Drosophila melanogaster: one gene and its partners. The protein of the gene in region 1 interacts with the protein of each later gene in a pairwise test. Each region holds a gene or a part of one and is shown on either strand. Other genes may lie near its edges.

Evidence for each region.
Region 2: the proteins of Osi18 (region 1) and CG3708 interact in a two-hybrid assay, tested with the Drosophila melanogaster proteins (one large-scale study listed by BioGRID).
Region 3: the proteins of Osi18 (region 1) and CG43183 interact in a two-hybrid assay, tested with the Drosophila melanogaster proteins (one large-scale study listed by BioGRID).
Region 4: the proteins of Osi18 (region 1) and CG2017 interact in a two-hybrid assay, tested with the Drosophila melanogaster proteins (one large-scale study listed by BioGRID).

The regions. Positions count from the first base shown.
Region 1 is NT_033777.3:6,328,516-6,332,311, forward strand, and holds Osi18 (osiris 18), read left to right. Parts: upstream 1-1,732; 5' UTR 1,733-1,835; coding exon 1,836-2,277; intron 2,278-2,569; coding exon 2,570-3,048; 3' UTR 3,049-3,294; downstream 3,295-3,796.
Region 2 is NC_004354.4:928,298-931,678, reverse strand, and holds CG3708 (uncharacterized protein), read left to right. Parts: upstream 1-1,580; 5' UTR 1,581-1,694; coding exon 1,695-2,783; 3' UTR 2,784-2,881; downstream 2,882-3,381. Other genes in the region: CG3706 (uncharacterized protein), read left to right, coding at 1-651; MED22 (mediator complex subunit 22), read right to left, coding at 2,912-3,129, 3,194-3,295, 3,352-3,381.
Region 3 is NT_033778.4:8,590,331-8,593,498, forward strand, and holds CG43183 (uncharacterized protein), read left to right. Parts: upstream 1-1,864; 5' UTR 1,865-1,990; coding exon 1,991-2,114; intron 2,115-2,165; coding exon 2,166-2,254; intron 2,255-2,311; coding exon 2,312-2,444; intron 2,445-2,503; coding exon 2,504-2,574; 3' UTR 2,575-2,639; downstream 2,640-3,168. Other genes in the region: CG14752 (uncharacterized protein), read left to right, coding at 240-260, 693-754, 1,235-1,490.
Region 4 is NT_033777.3:5,857,574-5,864,271, reverse strand, and holds CG2017 (uncharacterized protein), read left to right. Parts: upstream 1-1,866; 5' UTR 1,867-1,994; coding exon 1,995-2,102; intron 2,103-2,369; exon of another isoform or gene 2,370-2,525; intron 2,526-2,967; exon of another isoform or gene 2,968-3,282; intron 3,283-3,867; coding exon 3,868-4,540; intron 4,541-4,751; coding exon 4,752-5,629; exon of another isoform or gene 5,630-5,687; coding exon 5,688-5,960; 3' UTR 5,961-6,189; downstream 6,190-6,698. Other genes in the region: ECSIT, read right to left, coding at 6,372-6,698.

The DNA of each region.
Region 1 (3,796 bases):
ATTGGCAGCTCATTAAATACCAAAGCAGCCCAAGTACTCCCCCCTGCTCAGCCCTTATAATTTTCTTGGGCTTGTCTAAATTTGGCTCACAATACATTTCCGCTATTCGAAAAATTTTTAATAAAATCAAGTTGCACACTGCAAACACGGTTAATTAATTCAAGTAACATGAGTATTGTTTTAAAAAAAGTTTACCTGCTTTAAGTTCAAGGAAAAATATAATTGGGATGGGAAAGAAGATCATTAAAGGGCCTATTTCCTTTTATTCCTTTATACTCGGTATTCTTGTTTATAATTATACTTACAATTTGAAAATTAGGTGGCACTTTAAATATCAAATAATGACTTATTACTAAAACTAATTTAGGGTTTCTATTGGAAGAAATTAAGCCAATTGGTGTTCACCAGGATATCCTTTTAAGCTCAAATACATATAACAAAAAATTGAGAATTGGTAATTTTCATCTGCAACTACTTTAAAACTACAGCCAGGAAATTATCAATGTTCCGATTGTTTCTCCGATTTACAACATTTACCTTGATCTATTGCAATATCGAACGTTTTAGAAATATATTCACCTAGATCTGAACGTTCAAGAGCATTATTATGTGAATGGGATCTTTCTTTTTCCCATAATTTTAATAATAATAATAATAATTCATCGCGTTATTTGTTGGTACATCAAAACTGCACTGTGAGAGCACTAACATTTAGCACAAATGACTTAAATCTAGAAACTGTGCATAAAAAGGTTAGTAATATTTTTTTAATTGCTTACCGCAGTCCCATTTACGGAGTCTCATGAAACTCTCCGCAGACCATAATGTTTTTTCATTAAGATGCAATTAACTTCAAGGTTCAGTTATTTGCAAATCAATTACAGAAAATCGGTGGTTAACGGCTATTCCATTTTGTGATTTTGGTTACCGATCTATTTTCACTCTATTTAAATCTTCCATACAATTTATTTCGTAATAACGCAGAAGTCATACAGCAGTTTTGATTTAATTTTTGATGCCCTACATCACAGGAGATCCATTAAACAATTAACTTCAAACATATCTCAGCATTCATTCAATTCATTCATTCATTCAATTCTATGCAAATGTTCTTACAATTGGAAGGTAAATATTAATACATATTAAAGAACGAATCAAAGCGACTCGATTCACAATGGAGAATGAAATGAAATGGTATTTCTTCAGCTTCCGTGGTCAGCAAGTGCATTTGACTGCCCCCCGTGGGTACAAACGAGTATCCAATCTGCTGGGTGAGTGGTATTTTAATTGGGTTTCCAGGCACGCACCTCGGATTGCTGGGCACTTGATTTTACGAGCGGATCCCCGGCCGTCGATGCAGAAGAAGCCATCAAATAACTTTCAATTATGTGCGGCCCATTATGGCGCGTATTATGCGGGAAATCGTCGCAATGAGGAATTCCTACTCCTCCCACAAAGAGAACAGCGTGCCCATAAAACGTTCGCCTGACCCAATAGACTAGAGTATCGAAATAGAATCAGAGGCCAGAAGCACAGCTAGGGCCATACCTGCACAAAGGTGAAACTCAGGTGGTCAACTTGCGCTTTCCATGACTTTGACAACAAAGCGAAATGGTCGCTAAAGCTGGAGCCCAAAGCGGTGGGCAGAAAAAGAGCTCCGTGCGTACCTGGCATACGCAATTCAATTAGCAAAGTACCGTCGTATAAAAACCAAGCGGTTCCCATGCGACATTTGCATAACCCGCTGAGTGGCCAACGCGTGCGCACCACCAAACCACCTGACCACCGGACCATCGAACCAGAGTGAGAGTTGAGGACTAACCGTCGTCGAAAGGATGAAGAGCACCGCCGCTTGTCTGATAGTCGCCCTTGCGGCGCTGTCCACCGCCCACTCGGCGCCCACCGAAGGTCAGGTGGCGCCCCAGTCCGCCACGCAACTAGCCCTGGACATGTACCATGGCTGCCTTAAGGACCTCAGTGTTTCCTGCGTGCGTCCCAAGGCCCTGCAGTGGTTCAACTCTGCCCTCCGGCAGCCGGAGGTGCGCATCACCGAGCGCCTGTCGATTGTCCGTACCGCGGAGAAGGTCGAGTCCCGATCCATGAACCCGGAGGAGCGCCTCTTCGACGACATCGACAGCTATCTGGGCAGCCACTCGCTGAGGATCCAGGCTCCGGAGTACTTCCGCACCTCGGAAGCCCGCTCCCTGGTGCCCGACTTCCTCATGTCGAATCCGCTTACTCAGGGAGGATTAGTTCCCCTGGCAGCTGCTAACGAAGGTAAGAACTCAAGATCTAAGTCAGATAAAAAAGTAATGATGACGATCCAAAACGAGCTTACGTTTTTTCAAAATAACATTCAATTCGCAACACAGTGTCAGAAACAAGTGTTGATACTAATTATTGAAATGCCACTCTTGTGTTTAATAGAAATCGTTAAACTAATTTGAATATGACAAATGGCATTATCAAAAATTTCAAAAATGTTTAGGGTTTATGCAAATCAGCATACAAATATTTGGATTTTTACCACTTGTGATAAATCTAATCTGTATTTTTCCTACTTTTCCAGGACGTGGCATGATCCGCAAGGCAGTTCTGCCCTTCCTTCTGGGCCTGAAACTGAAGACCACTGTGCTGGTGCCACTGGCCTTGGGACTCATTGCCCTAAAGACCTGGAAGGCCATGACCTTGGGCCTGCTCTCATTGGTGCTGTCTGGAGCCTTGGTTATTTTCAAGATTGCCAAGCCCAAGATTGTCAACTACGAGGTGGTGCACTATCCCCATCACGTGGATCATGTGGTGCCGCATCACATTGAGCACGTGGTGCCCCACCACATCGAGCACGTGGTGCCCCACCACATCGAGCACATAGTGCCGCATCACATCGATCATCATCTGGAGCACCACATCGATCACCACGTGGATCTGCCCGTGGAGCACATCGAGCACCTGGAGCACCCATCGCCCGCCTGGGATCCTCATGCCTGGGCCCGATCCTCGCAAGAGCCGCAGGATGCCCAGGACTTGGCCTACGCGGGTCAGAAGTGAACATGGGTCTAGAGACCAAAACCCCCCTTACGAAATTCGGCCAAACTGTAACCTTATTTATTTCGTTCTAAGTTAAGTAGCTGAAACACACCGCTCTCGGCGTATTGTTTATTTATTTATTTATTGAGAAGTGTACAAAGCAAAGACCACAAAAAGAACCAAACCCCCAAGGCGTTTTAAAAAGGTACTAAGTGGGAATTAGCTCTGGTGTCCCTTTGTGTAAATATTACTGCAATAAAAACATGCAAAAACGATGTGCCTAATTGAAAACTTTTTTGGAAGTACCAACCCCTCAGCGAAGTGGCTAATTATCCCCAAAACTTTTCTAATGCGAGGAGTTTCACTTTGGGGGTCTGTTGAATTAACCCAGGAGATTCCGGCAAATGAAATGCCACAGAATAATGAGTGCAACTTCTGGCCAAAGTGCCTGATAAAAATGCCAATGAGCACTTTTAGAAAACTCTGCAGAGTAAGGGGAAGCCACAGAGGAATCCTTAATGAAATGCACACATTTTTATATGCCACGTGGAAAAAGATGCTTTGTCCTAGAAATACACTGCGAAAAGAAAGTGTTTCTTTCCTTATTATGTAGCTTTGAAACGTGTACTATGATCAAGATAAGGAATGGATTGCGTTTCCCCATCCTAACGATAGGCTGAACCTTTTCATTAAGTTTTATTATCTGTTTTGATAGAAATGGAAATCCATCTCATTTGTGGGAATGTAAGTATTTCATTTTCTTTACATA
Region 2 (3,381 bases), on another chromosome or scaffold:
CTGCTGCGCAGCGTCAACCACATCGTAGAGAAGCGCACCCACTACGAACAGAACGGAGAACTGGCCGGCCAGGTCACGCTCGATGGCAAGGAGCTGGCGCTGAAAATGGTGGGCTTCCGGGACCACAGCTTCGGCACCGAGCGCTGCCTAAGCTCCATCAACCGGTACGTGTACTTTGCCCTCTTTATGGACGATGGCAGCAGCATGGTGGTGGGCAGCCTCAGTCAGCCGTCCTTCTTCCTGTCCTCCCTGAAGGTGGGCTACGTGTGCAGCCCCGAGCGGCAGTATCAGCCGCTGACCGGGAGCAACTTCGAGCTGTACTCGTACGGCGAAAAGGGAACGCCGCCGCAGCACCAGAATTTCATTGTGCGCACCGAGGAGCGGGAGTACCTCGTGCAAATCCAGGTGGAGGCCTCCGCGCTGCGCTACGTCGGCGGCGACTGGGAGTCTAAGGTGTTCAACCAGTTTGTGGCCTGCACGGTCAACGGAGTTCCCGGCCAGGGCCACGCCGAGTTCCTGTACCGCCACAAGGGCGGCAGGCCGGAGGATATATCGTCCGGGGACCCCGGCTGGTACCAGGACATCAAGCGCTTCGAGAGAAGCCTCTCGTTGCTGGAAGAGGAGGGCCAGGACGAAGACTTCATCTTCTAGGACGCCGACGAATTGTTTTTGTTTTCAGTTTAAGATAGCATGTAAAAGTATGGGGGAGACCCATCCTATCAAAATAAAGAGATTTTGTTTGAATGACATTCGAGATTCTGAAGTCATTGGCCGCGCTGATGTCATCGGTAAGTCCAAACTAATTCAGTTAACCAACAATCCAACAGCAATATCCACTGGAGGCCATCCGGTGCAGCTGCAATCTGGTGGACTCGGGTCGATGAGGAAGATTACCGAATCGCTGGTGGAGGAATTGGACCCCCCGTGAGGATTAGTCGCCCATAAATTAGCATGCGACAGACGAACGGATTAGATTGGACAGCTACTTCGGTTTTTCTCCCAATAAATAATGGCGATTCGGGCCATCGGTTTATGGCACCCAAAAGACAACGGGCCCCACTTATCGCTCCGTCGGGCCAATAAAACCCAAGACCAGGCACCAAGACTGGGCCCAAGTGCCCAGGTGTCGCAGATAAGAGGCGAGCGGCGGGGCAGATAGCTTCAATCCAACAAAATAAACCATGCTCGGGATCTGAATGGAGCATTATGCTGCCGTCCGGTTCCGACCTGCCGCAATGTCAGCTTATGGTGGGCCGATAAGTGCCGGGCATGACCCTCCCTTCAGTGTCCAGTCCACAGCCCATATCTGGGCTCATGAGCAGGTAGCTCCGATAACGCAACCGCCGACAGATATTGGCCACCGATTTGCCCGGAATTCGGCAAATCATGCACTGTTTCTGGAATTCGCCTTCATTAATTATGCACGTAACTCTGAAGTGGTATTCCTCGTAGGCGAAATTATTTGTTAGATTACGCAGTTATTGTAATCAAAAATGCGATTGCTTCTGGGCAAATCCAAGGAATCATCAGCCGAATTTTCGTTCCCAGTAGTAGGCCGGTTTCTGTGGAAATCAAGGAACAGCTTTGATCTAGCATAGTAGTTTCCAAGTGCCCAGTCGCAGAGCTGGAATATACTTGTAGATTTATATACATATATGTTGCCAAATTTCGAAGTTATTGCACCGAATTGCACAATGATTGGGATGGCTGACAGCGCGGAGGGGGTTACCCAGGAAGACAGCCACACGGAGTCGAGGGCAGACGGCATCAGCGGGTCCTTGCGCTCCCTGGGCACATATACCCAGGAGTCCACAGAGCCGGCTTTGAGTCCGGCGGACCTTCCCGCCCGCAGCCGGAAGGCCTTTCTGCGGCACATGATCGGCCAGCTGGCGGAGCCCGTGCAGAACCGCATACGGGCACTGCGGCACAATCAGCTGCAACAGGTACGCATTTCGGAGCAGTTCTTCCGGGAAGTCTACGAGCTGGAGCGACGTTTCTACGGCCAGAGCTGCGCGCTCTTCGATGCGAGGCGGGATATTTTGGAGGGTTCGGTGGAGCCACCGATCCAAACGGAGAAGACCTGGCCCGAGGACCCGCAGGATGCTCTGTACCTGGACTTCGGGAACAACGAGGAGCTGCGACAGCTGAGGCAAAAACTGGCTCCGGTTTCGCCGACTACGCTGGGTGTTCCACGCTTTTGGCTGACAGTTTTCCAGAACGTGCCCCTGCTCTCGGAGTTGGTCCAGGATCACGACGAGCCGCTTCTGGAGAGCCTAATGGATGTGCGCCTGGCTTACGACCAGGACAGCTACATGGTCATCTTTCAGTTTCGGCCCAATAGCTTCCTGCACGATTCCTCGCTGCTGCTCACGAAGCGCTACTTTCTGCAGCACTCGGCGGACCCGGAGTATCCCTTTCTGTTCGAAGGGCCCGAAATAGTTCGTTGCGAAGGCTGCCACATCCACTGGCGCGATGGCTCCAATCTCACTCTCCAAACGGTGGAAAGCAGGCGAAGGAACAGAGCACACCGAGTCACCAAGGTCATGCCTCGGGAGTCCTTCTTTCGCTTCTTTGCTCCGCCGCAGGCCTTGGACCTGTCGCTCGCGGATGAAAAGACCAAGCTGATCCTTGGCAACGATTTCGAAGTGGGCTTCCTGCTACGCACCCAAATCGTCCCGAAGGCGGTGCTCTTTTACACGGGCGACCTAGTTGACAGCCTGAGCGCGGCCTCTCCGGACAGTCGCTCCTTGTCCTCGGAGGCGGAACAGGAGCAGGTCTTGTGAGTGCGACGCGACTAGCTGTTTGCTAAACAAAATTTACAAGTGAATGTGGTAATGATTTCTTATTAAATTCTACAGTTCGGCCAAAGCCAGTTCATCACAAATAAGGTGAACCCCTTCCCCTCCTAGCGCTACTTAAAAATGCTGGTGTAGTACTCCTCCTCCAGGTCGTACAAGTCCATGGCCATTTCGTCCCTAAGTTTCATCAGCTTCTTGTCGCACTCGCTCTGTGTGTTCCTGAACAGCTGCGAATTGTTTGTGATGGCCTCGTTGACCGAGTGAAAGTCGTTGAGGATTAGGTACTGTTTTAGGTCGGCCACCAGCTTCATCAGAGACTCGCCGGCACGGACTATAAAGCGGAATGCATGAAGGAAATGGCTCGAATCTGGTTCCCAGGGAGTGGATTTACTCACCCATGTTGGCCGCGCGGACCTGCATTTCCAGGGCATCCTGTTCGCACTGCGTGGTCTTCGAAATCTGGCTGTGGCTCTCACGGCGCGCCAGCTTGAGTATTTCTGGAGGAGAACACGGTATTACAATCTATTGCTCGGAGCAACTGAGCCGCACTTACCTTCAAAATTCTCCAGCATGCTGCGAACGT
Region 3 (3,168 bases), on another chromosome or scaffold:
TTTTCGCTTGGCCGTTGAAGTTGCTGCTGCTGTTGTTGCTGCTGCTGCTGCTGCTGTTGTTGCTGCACCGACGTCACGTCTTTCTCGTGCAGCGCAGTCGGCTTGCAGCAACAACACAAAGCGCTGCTGGCGCCCGGTATAAAACGGATGAGTCGCAGCCTGTGGTTATCAGTCACCACCTGACAGTGCTCCGGTTTTAGTATCGCCTTTCGAGTGCAGCAGAGCTCAGCCCAGCCACCATGTCCGTCCTGAAAGTATTCGTAAGTGCGACAAGGATAACGTTCGAAAAAGTGTTAAGCCAAACCTCCGCGGAATGGAGCTGAAAAGGATTAAACTCATGTGGACTATCGTGAATAAAACTAACCAACTGAAACATAACAAACTCACTGAAAACTGACTTCGATAACCGAAGTATTGGAAATATACCACCAAGATCGCCTGATGGCTTAAAAAGTCTCGAATAGATATTTCAAGAAACTGCGAAAGCATTTATTTTGCAGAAATATAAATTCACCCAAAAATATTAGTTTATGTTTATCAATCGCGGACTAACATTTCATTAGATTACTTAGATTTCACCAGAATTGAACATAAATTTTGAAGTGCCAAATTAAAACTAATCACACTGATTAGTTAGCTATTTGCGTTAATCTAGCCGGACCTAACTTACTAACTTCCTTATCCCCTTTCAGATCTTCGTCGCCCTCTTCGCCGTGGCCTACTGCGCACCCAGTCCCGGCTTCTTTGGCAAACAGTGAGTATCGGCGGCGATCTGCACCTGAACTGATCCATAAATAACCCGAGCGAATCGATAAAAATACCCATTTCCCGCTTTATGCTAAGCTAACGAGCGGTCGCATGGCTTTTTAAACGCTGCGACTGCTCCGTGGGTCTATGAAATATGTGTCCGATTGCGATCGAATTGAGCAATCAAAACGCTTGTAGCACTTAGAGCCCCAGCCCCCTCCAGCAGTCTCTATATGGTGCCCACCACTGGCTACCATTGAACTTAGCCGATCTCGACTTGGCTTGGCTCGCGGCTTAGGAATTTCGCAGGCGGCGGTTGGCATTTAATTCAGCGTAATGCGCGCATAATTGTGCGAATCAATTGCCAATTGCCAATAGCCAATATGCAATAGCCATGTCTGCCAAGACGCTGGGTTCAAGCAACTGATTAGCTAACAGGCGATGGTACATGGCATTCGATCTAACCGATTTCACTTTCGATCCGCAGCGAGCACCACACCATCCACGTGCCCTACAAGGTGCACACGGTGCACCACCATCACGTTCAGAAGGTCCATGTGCCGGTGGTGAAGCACGTGCCGGTGCCCATTTACAAGGAGGTGCCCGTGCACCACGTCCACCACGAGGAGATCCCCGTGCCGGTGCACCACGTCCATCACGAGGAGATCCCGGTGCACCATGTCTTCGATGACCACCACGACCACCACGGCTGGAGCTCCCACCACGGACACGGCTGGCTGTAAGCCATCTGCCCGCTGGCCTGCTTGTCTTCAAACCCACCCACTCAGCCAGTCCCATCTGAAGCAGCCTGTAAATACTGTACAATGCTAAGTTAATGAATGTAAATAAATCACAATTCGACTGTACACAGAACAATCCTGGCGTATTTATGGCAGGATTCCCTGAAGTGGAACCTTAGTGTTTGATGGCTCACAAGTAATCTAATAAACCAAATACTTTTAATGGGAATGAAATAACGATTTTGTTATTTGAGGCTTTTTAAGTTGTTGCGATTAGGATAGATGGTTACTTTTGAAGACTCGAAACTTGCTTATCTCTATATTTATATACTATATAAGATGGTAGAATATAACCTACTTGTTAAGTAATATTTTTCAAAAGATTTTTGTTATCAGTGACAGAACTTGTACACATAAAATAAAAACCCCATATACTCAGATACTCAAATACTAATACCCTGATAGCAAATAGCCACAAATAGACACACTACCACATTTGCACCATGATATATCTACAGAGTTGCTGCTGCTGCGTGGATCTGCGAATCGGAACCATAGCAATAGGGATTTTGCACATTATAGCGGATATCCTTGGAGGCACATTTGTTGCTTTATTTGGGGAGTCGGGTAAGTGAAGCAGGATACTTGAGAGCAAGGATATGATCCTAACACCCATAGGTATTCCCGATTTGGGTCACACCCTATTCATTATCTTCGTTATGCTGCACATCCTGAGCTGCGTTTTCCTGATCATCGGCAGTATACGGGTGAGATACCAGTACAATTGATTAGTTTCAAATTATAATACTTATGATTTGATCTAGTTACGGAGCAGCTGGATGCTCTTCTACATAATAATGACTATGATCATGGCGGTAGCAATGCTCATATTGATAGTATCCGACGTCATACTCGCCGTTTGTTTCTGGGTAATGATCACGTATGCTATAATGTTCTGTAAGTAGCTAAGTGTATCTAAGATTTCACAATCCCTTAATTTTTCCCCATTGCTTCAGTTATTTGCCTTTATTCCTGGCTAGTGGCGTACTCTTTTTACGCCGCCTTAGGAGGACCTCTCTTCATCTGAATGTGATCCATTGCCAAGTAATAAATTGTACTGTGATTGTAGCAATAAAGTACTTGAATTTTTACAAATCGATCTGCATTTTAAGTGGAATAATCATCGTAGAGTACCGAAATAACTATATCTCATCTCATTTGGTTCAATCGTTTTGGATTCCAAGAATTCGAATATTCCTTTTCATGCAATAAGTTTCCCATAATCACTTCCCATTACATTTGTTTGTAAAATTACTTTCGTGAGTTGCACTTTTTTCACACACTGCCAAAAAAGAGCAAAAAAAATGGGGCAATGCTATATTGATTATAAATAAAGCAATGATTGCACGCATATTTCAGGTGAATTGGTCGGGAATGTGATAGGTTCGATTGGATCATTGCTCCATTAGTTAATCCCACTGCAAGACTGTAATTTGCAGTTGCACTTGACCTTGGGCCGGTCTCCCAAAGGCGGCAATTAAGCCGAAGTTTTGCAAGAACGACTTTCACAAAGCACTCACTTGACCAGCTCCGACTGAGGTCGACCGCCAGTCCGCGTCCGCTCCGCTCCGATCTCTCCCTTCCTACGATCTCCACGAACCCGATCCGATCCGATCCGGTC
Region 4 (6,698 bases), 470 kb from region 1:
CGAGGCCGAGTGGCTGGGAGCAGGGCTCTCCAACTCGAAACTCGTTGTTGAATCTGTTTGTCCCGGCTAAAGTGAGAAGAACACATCCCCCGGAAAACATAGCCCCTCCTGCCGCAGACGCACTATTTGAACTGCCCTCCCGCAAACGAGATCAAAGTCGGGCCGACCCGAAAAAAGGCAAAGTTATATTGGACACGTCTTGCGCCATTGCGTGCCCAGTGCTGGTCATTATTTAACTTTTAAACACGCGCCAAAAACAGCACCAGATTTGAATTTAATGGTCACAGCAGTTGCTCCCGCTCCCGCTACCGCTCCGGCTCCACTGGCATTAGCAGCGGGGCCAGCCAACAAGTGAGCAATAAAGAAAAGTTTAGAAAAATATCCCAATCCATGCTGCCGGCCGAATCACCAATCCGGAGTACCCCATCCCAAATGAATGGGTATATAGAACTGGGCACGGATTTGTGCGCACGATAGCGCAAAACGATGACAATAAATGGAAAACTTTTTAATAAGCTAATAAAATGATTTATGCGGGTCGAGCGATAAGAGGGATAAAAGGCACGGAGTTCCACTTCCAGATGGCCATTTGATGGGCCCGATTCCGGCCAATTCCGACAGACAGACACCTCATTGACGAACGCCAACCAGTTGGACCTGAGCACGCACACACACACACACATACACAACGAATGTATTCTTGAGCATTATTTATTGGATATTGAATGGGTCGGCCCAGCTCGCAGGATTGGGGCAGTTCAAGAGGGGAGCGTAGCCCCCACCCCCCCACCACCCTATCATCCCCCTTTCATTGGCAATTGTTATCAAGGCATTAGCACATCGGAAATGCTATACGACTATATCATACTCAAGACAAGGGCTAAACGACTATAAGTGTTCTAACGTTTGTCATATCAGTTGGGCGATTCAGTTCTTGACTTTCTATCGAAAAAACGTAATTGAAAAAAAGAAATGTATATGCTAAGTCATCGATAGCGATTAGTAAAATCAATGTAATGTCATAATGTTTAAATGTAAAAGTTATAGCATCCAGGTAACTGGTAGAGCAAATCGTAAACTTCCTCCAAGTTTATACATATATAGTAAAGGTCCCCGCTGTAGATAACCAAAATCGAGTGCCAGTAGTGCAATTTTAAAACGATCCCCAACAACCTGTAGCATCACGACATCCCCATGATCCATGTCGAGGTCAGCAGATACTATTTTATGAGCCTCAGAGAGGTCAACGATGTACATACATACATGCAAGCCCAAGTCCCGAAAACAGACAGACATACATACATATACACATCATTGTAACTGACTACATATGTAAAAATGCTTAAAATATTTGTGATAAAGTAATAATGTTAATGATAAGGAATAAAACGTAAATATATTAATGAGAATACATTGAGTTTGAATTAAAGCAATTCGAGTTGTATTTTCATTGCTGGGAGGCACAAGGTTTCCTAAATTCTTTTTTTAGCAATCTAAAAACGTTACCATATCTTCACTCATTTGAATGATTTTTTGATACCAATACAAAATTATTTTGTAGCAAAGCAGATGTTTTTGAGCTTGCAAGATAGCTCCATCGAGATTGGAATTAAGTTCTATGCTGGCTAATAAACTTATTTGAGTAAAATTTACCAAAACGAATTCTCAACACTAAAGTACTAAAGTAAAGTATGGAAATGTAGGACATGCAGATGACCGCCTTCGCAACCCCATTTATTGTTAAAAATACGTTACTATTTAAATTTGAAAAATGTGTGCCGTTCACAATGGACGCCCCGTCAGCCAGTGTTGGTAAGGGTGCGCAGCAACTGGATAGGTCAGTGTCCAAAAGGGACTAACGCGTGGCGAGCATAAACATCTGTTTGTCGGAGTCACAAAATGTAGGAAGTTTATGGTTTATAATAATTGATTGGATTGCTGGCGCAACTTTGGCGTCCCCGAAATTTGAAGTGTGTTGTGAGTGCTTAACCCACATGAGTGCAAAATTGCCATGGCAACGTGAATCGAACACGAACAGCAACACCCACACAGAGACCATTGAAGATCCGCGCATTGTGGCGCAGTATTGCATCAGCAACTGCGTAAGTGCAGCACATTGACTCCATTTTTGTTTTGCTGATGAAATCGCAGCGCGATTTTTGTTTCTTGTGAAATTCCGCTCTATGCTTGCCAAGCTTTTGTTTGTTGGTTGCATGAATTCGGTAAACGCGACAGTTACTTCCCGGAATTCAAACGGAAAGGAGCTTTCCGCGAAGCGTCCTCAATCAATTTCGAGATAGAGATAGAGAATAATAACGCAGCTGACGCGGTCAAAACAAAAGCGCTTGTGTAGAAAATCAAATGCGAAGCAAACGCGGCGAGGACAAGACGCGAAAAGCTGTCAAAACTACGCGCCGAAAAAGGAAAGGGTCTGGTCGATCAGAAATCCGCTACGCAACACAGATTGCGTATCTACATAAAACGTAATAATTTAATTGTGTGGGAGTTATCTCACAATTAAGAAGGTTCGTTTTTAAACTAAGTTTCCTTATTTGAACAACAATCGTAGAACTAAAGAGGTGTGTTTGAATTGTGGAAAGCCAAGCATTAATTGTTGAATAAAATTATCAAACGTCGCGGCTTCGCATCAAAATCGTGAAAAAGTTAACTTTTATAGTTCCAGTGTCGAAGGACGTAATGGCGTGTGACGTAATTAAACATTGTATATCCTGCCTTCTAATTGCAAAAATAAAGTAATTAGAATTAAAACCTATAAATTTACCATTTATCGTTAGCTTTAGTAATTAAATAGGTTCGTAATAACATCCCGCATTAAATATTTAGGTAACTTTCTTCTTGTGGAAATTCACTAAGTTAATTTTTTTAAGCTCAACCCCCACTTGCTAAACAAAAAATACGTTCCATGAAAGAACTCAAACGCCCTAGGGTAAGGTATTGCGAAAGCTTTTGAAGTATTCAGGTGCTTGTTCTTCGGTCAACAAAGCAAAACAATCGGGAGCAGGTTATAAACAAAATCGAAAGGCACCCAAAAGCGGAGAGCACAAGTACGCACACAACTACGAACTACAACTACAAAGCACAGCACTCAGAACCCAGATAGCCGAACGAACAACAAATTCGACCTGGGCAAATGAAAAGCGCAGCCAAAATCGATATTTTGTGCCAGCGTCGCGCGCAAATAGGAGCTGCTTTAGCGCTTAATATCTCGAATAAACTCGAGCGGATTGGTTTGATTAGTGAGCCAAATATAGGGATTATCTGGTAAGATGTTTGGAACTTGTCGTATTATCGACCTTCTGTTCCACCTGCCCCCGCGCGTGGGCTCGAAACAACGGCCAGAGTCGTGGCAAACATAAACAAGCATTTTCAAGGTCGCTGCAAGTCAAAGACGGCCAAAAAAACAAATGGGGAAAATTTCAGTTTTGATGGATACACATAAGCAAACGGTTCCATCAAAAAGATACATAGAAGTTGAAAAATAATTGTTTTTAAAGTGAAACAAATGACGTGGTGTCGAAATAAAATTAAAAAAACTTTAGTACAATATTAAAAGTTATTTCAACCCAATTATATTGGGTAATTCTCAGACTAAATACAGTACAGTATGAGTAAACAAATCAAATAATATTTACTTATGCATGTATCTCATTGCTATTATTTCAGCCACGGCTGTTCGAAAATCTGTATGTATGTACATAAGTATGTACATATGTACATTTTCGATGTCGCAATTGGCCCAAAAAATGTTTTCTTCTCAAGACAAAGAGTTCCTTTGTCTAAACAGAATTTTTACCATTTACCTCATCTGAATTTTGTATTTATATGATCCACGCTTCCCTTTTGCAGCAACACATTATGGAGTCCTTCCTGAGTCTCTTTGATCCCAATCAGGACGACGGCTTCGAGGAAGAGCCCGAGCTCAATGGCAACAGCAGCGGCGGCGGAAGCAGCAGCAGCGACTATGAGACGGACGCCAATGCCAACGAGTGCAGCGTAGTGAGCGGGATGCCCACCGAGCGGGGCAACCTGATCTTCGACTTCGAGCAGGGAATGCTGCCACCAGAGCCGCAGCTCGGAAATGTGGAGTACAAGCTGAAGCTGGTCAACCCGTCGAAGCAGCGATTCGAGCACCTGGTGACCCAGATGAAGTGGCGTCTGCGCGAGGGAAACGGCGAGGCCATCTACGAGATTGGAGTATCCGACGCCGGCTATCTGCAGGGACTCAGCGACAAGGACATGAATGCCTCGCTCACCACGCTCAAGCAGATGGCCCACAGCCTAGGAGCCAGTACCTCAGTGCTGCGGCGAAAGACCATCGCCGCCCGACGCGCCGTCGCCGAGGTACTGGTCCGTAAGATCCCCGACGACCAGCACAACATCGAGGTTCGGGTGGCGGTGCTCGGCGGAGCTGATGCAGGCAAATCCACTTTGCTGGGCGTGCTTACACAGGACGAGCTGGATAACGGACACGGCCGGGCGCGGCTCAATATGTTTAGGCACATGCACGAGATTCAGTCTGGTAATATGTCGTTATAAGCACTAAACACAGATATAAATTAAATTAAGATGTTTGGCATCCATTTTAAATTGTCATCAATAAGGAATATATCAGTTGTACTACATTATTCATACATCTCTCGTTTACAAACTTTTTTTTAAATTATATTTATCACTCACAAAGTCCGGTTTGTTTGCTTGAAAATTACCAATTTGCTCCTCTTTTCCTTAAGGCCGCACCTCCTGCATCTCCCACGAGACGCTTGGCTTCGATGCACTGGGTAATGTGGTCAACTACAAGTACAATGAGATGATGACGGCAGAGGAGATTAGCGACAGGTCCAGCAAGCTGGTTACCTTCATGGATCTAGCCGGACACCGACGCTACATGCGCACCACCGTGCAGGCACTGAGTGGATACTCACCCCACTACGCCATGCTGGTGGTATCGGCGGGCAGCGGTTGCAACGACACCACCGAGGAGCACTTGGCTATCGTGCGGGCACTGGACATGCCCTTCTTTGTATTGGTCACGAAGACAGATATCACATCGCCGGACGCGACGGTACAGGAGTTGTGCAACCTGCTCACCACCATTGGGTGCCGGAAGGTTCCCTTTGTGGTGACCAACACGGATGAGGCCATCTCCGCCGGGTCAAACCAGATCTCCGAGAACATTGTGCCCATCTTTTGCGTATCGAATGTGACCGGCACGGGACTCAACCTAGTCACAAAGTTTCTGTACGTCCTTTCGCCCGGAATCAGCAACGCCGAGAAGGATCGACTCGAGCAGGAGTCTTGCGAGTTCCAGGTGGACGAGATCTTCCGGGTCTCTGACGTCGGACCCGTTGTGGGCGGTCTACTTGTCCAGGGCGTGCTGACCGAGAATATGGCAATGAAGATTGGTCCGCTTCCCGATGGTAGCTTTCATCCCGTTACTGTTAATACTATCCACCGAAACAAGGCTCCTTGCCGAGTTGTCCGAGCTGGTCAGAGCGCTTCGCTGTCTTTCAGTATGGATCAGGATGTGCCCACGCTACGAAGTGGCATGGTTCTTTTGGGTGATATTGGAAATAGTCTGGATGAGCCCTACGGGACCTTCTTCTTCCAAGTGAGTTGCTAGTTTTCATTTATCGTTACCAAATAAATACATCAACTTCCCTTTGCAGGCCAAGGTGTCCGTGCTGTTCCACGCCACGGCCATCTATGTCGGCTTCCAAACCACAGTCCACATAGGCAGCATTCGCCAGACGGCCGTCATTCGGGGCATTATGGGCGGCGAGCGACTGGGCACAAACGATTGTGCTTCGGTGATGTTCGAGTTCGTCGGCCACCCGGAGTACGTGCGTCCTGGAATGCGCATCCTGTTCCGCGAGGGCACCAGCAAAGGAATCGGAGTTGTCACGCAGGTGTTTCCGGTCAACAAGACAGGCATAAAGTAGAGAAGCGGGCCAGATGGATAGTTCCAATGACATATCTATATATCTCAAACAAAGATGACATGTACATATACTTAATTAGCAATTAGAGGGAGGCGTTAAATCTTAGGCAGATCTTCTGTACACTTAGTTTCGGGTTCTGTGATTTTTCGTTTAAGCTCGGCTCACAATCGGATGTTGTGAGTAATCCTTCTCAATTAACCTTATTTCATTAAAATCCACCCCAAAATGCATACAATGTTGCTTTCAATTCGCGTCCGAGCCAAAGAGTATAAATAATTACCGAAGTATTAATTTTTTTCCTTCTAGCAGATGTACATATATATGTACATATGATCAAAACCGACTAACTTTAAGCAACATTTACCATCAATTCTATGGTATACAAAGACGAAAAAGTGCTCAACAATTTGTTTATTTCTGTCTACTGCTAATGTGCTCATCTTGACTACTGTTATCACTTGTTGCCGGGACACTGGCGCCACCTTCAATTTCCTCCGCCTTGGCTGGCACTTCGGATGTGAACCGGAAGAGGACGGGCACCTCTCCTATGGAGGGATTTCCGTTCGCTTCCAACAGGCGAATCCACGAGAGCAATGAGTCCTTTGTGGAGGTGCCTGTGGCACAGATGGCCATAATGGTTCCGTCGTCCTGTTGGTGGACAGAGCGCAGCTTTCCCAGCTGGTTGTGTCGCCTTGGTGGAGCACGACCAAAGAAGGGTACTTCGATGTGGGAGACATC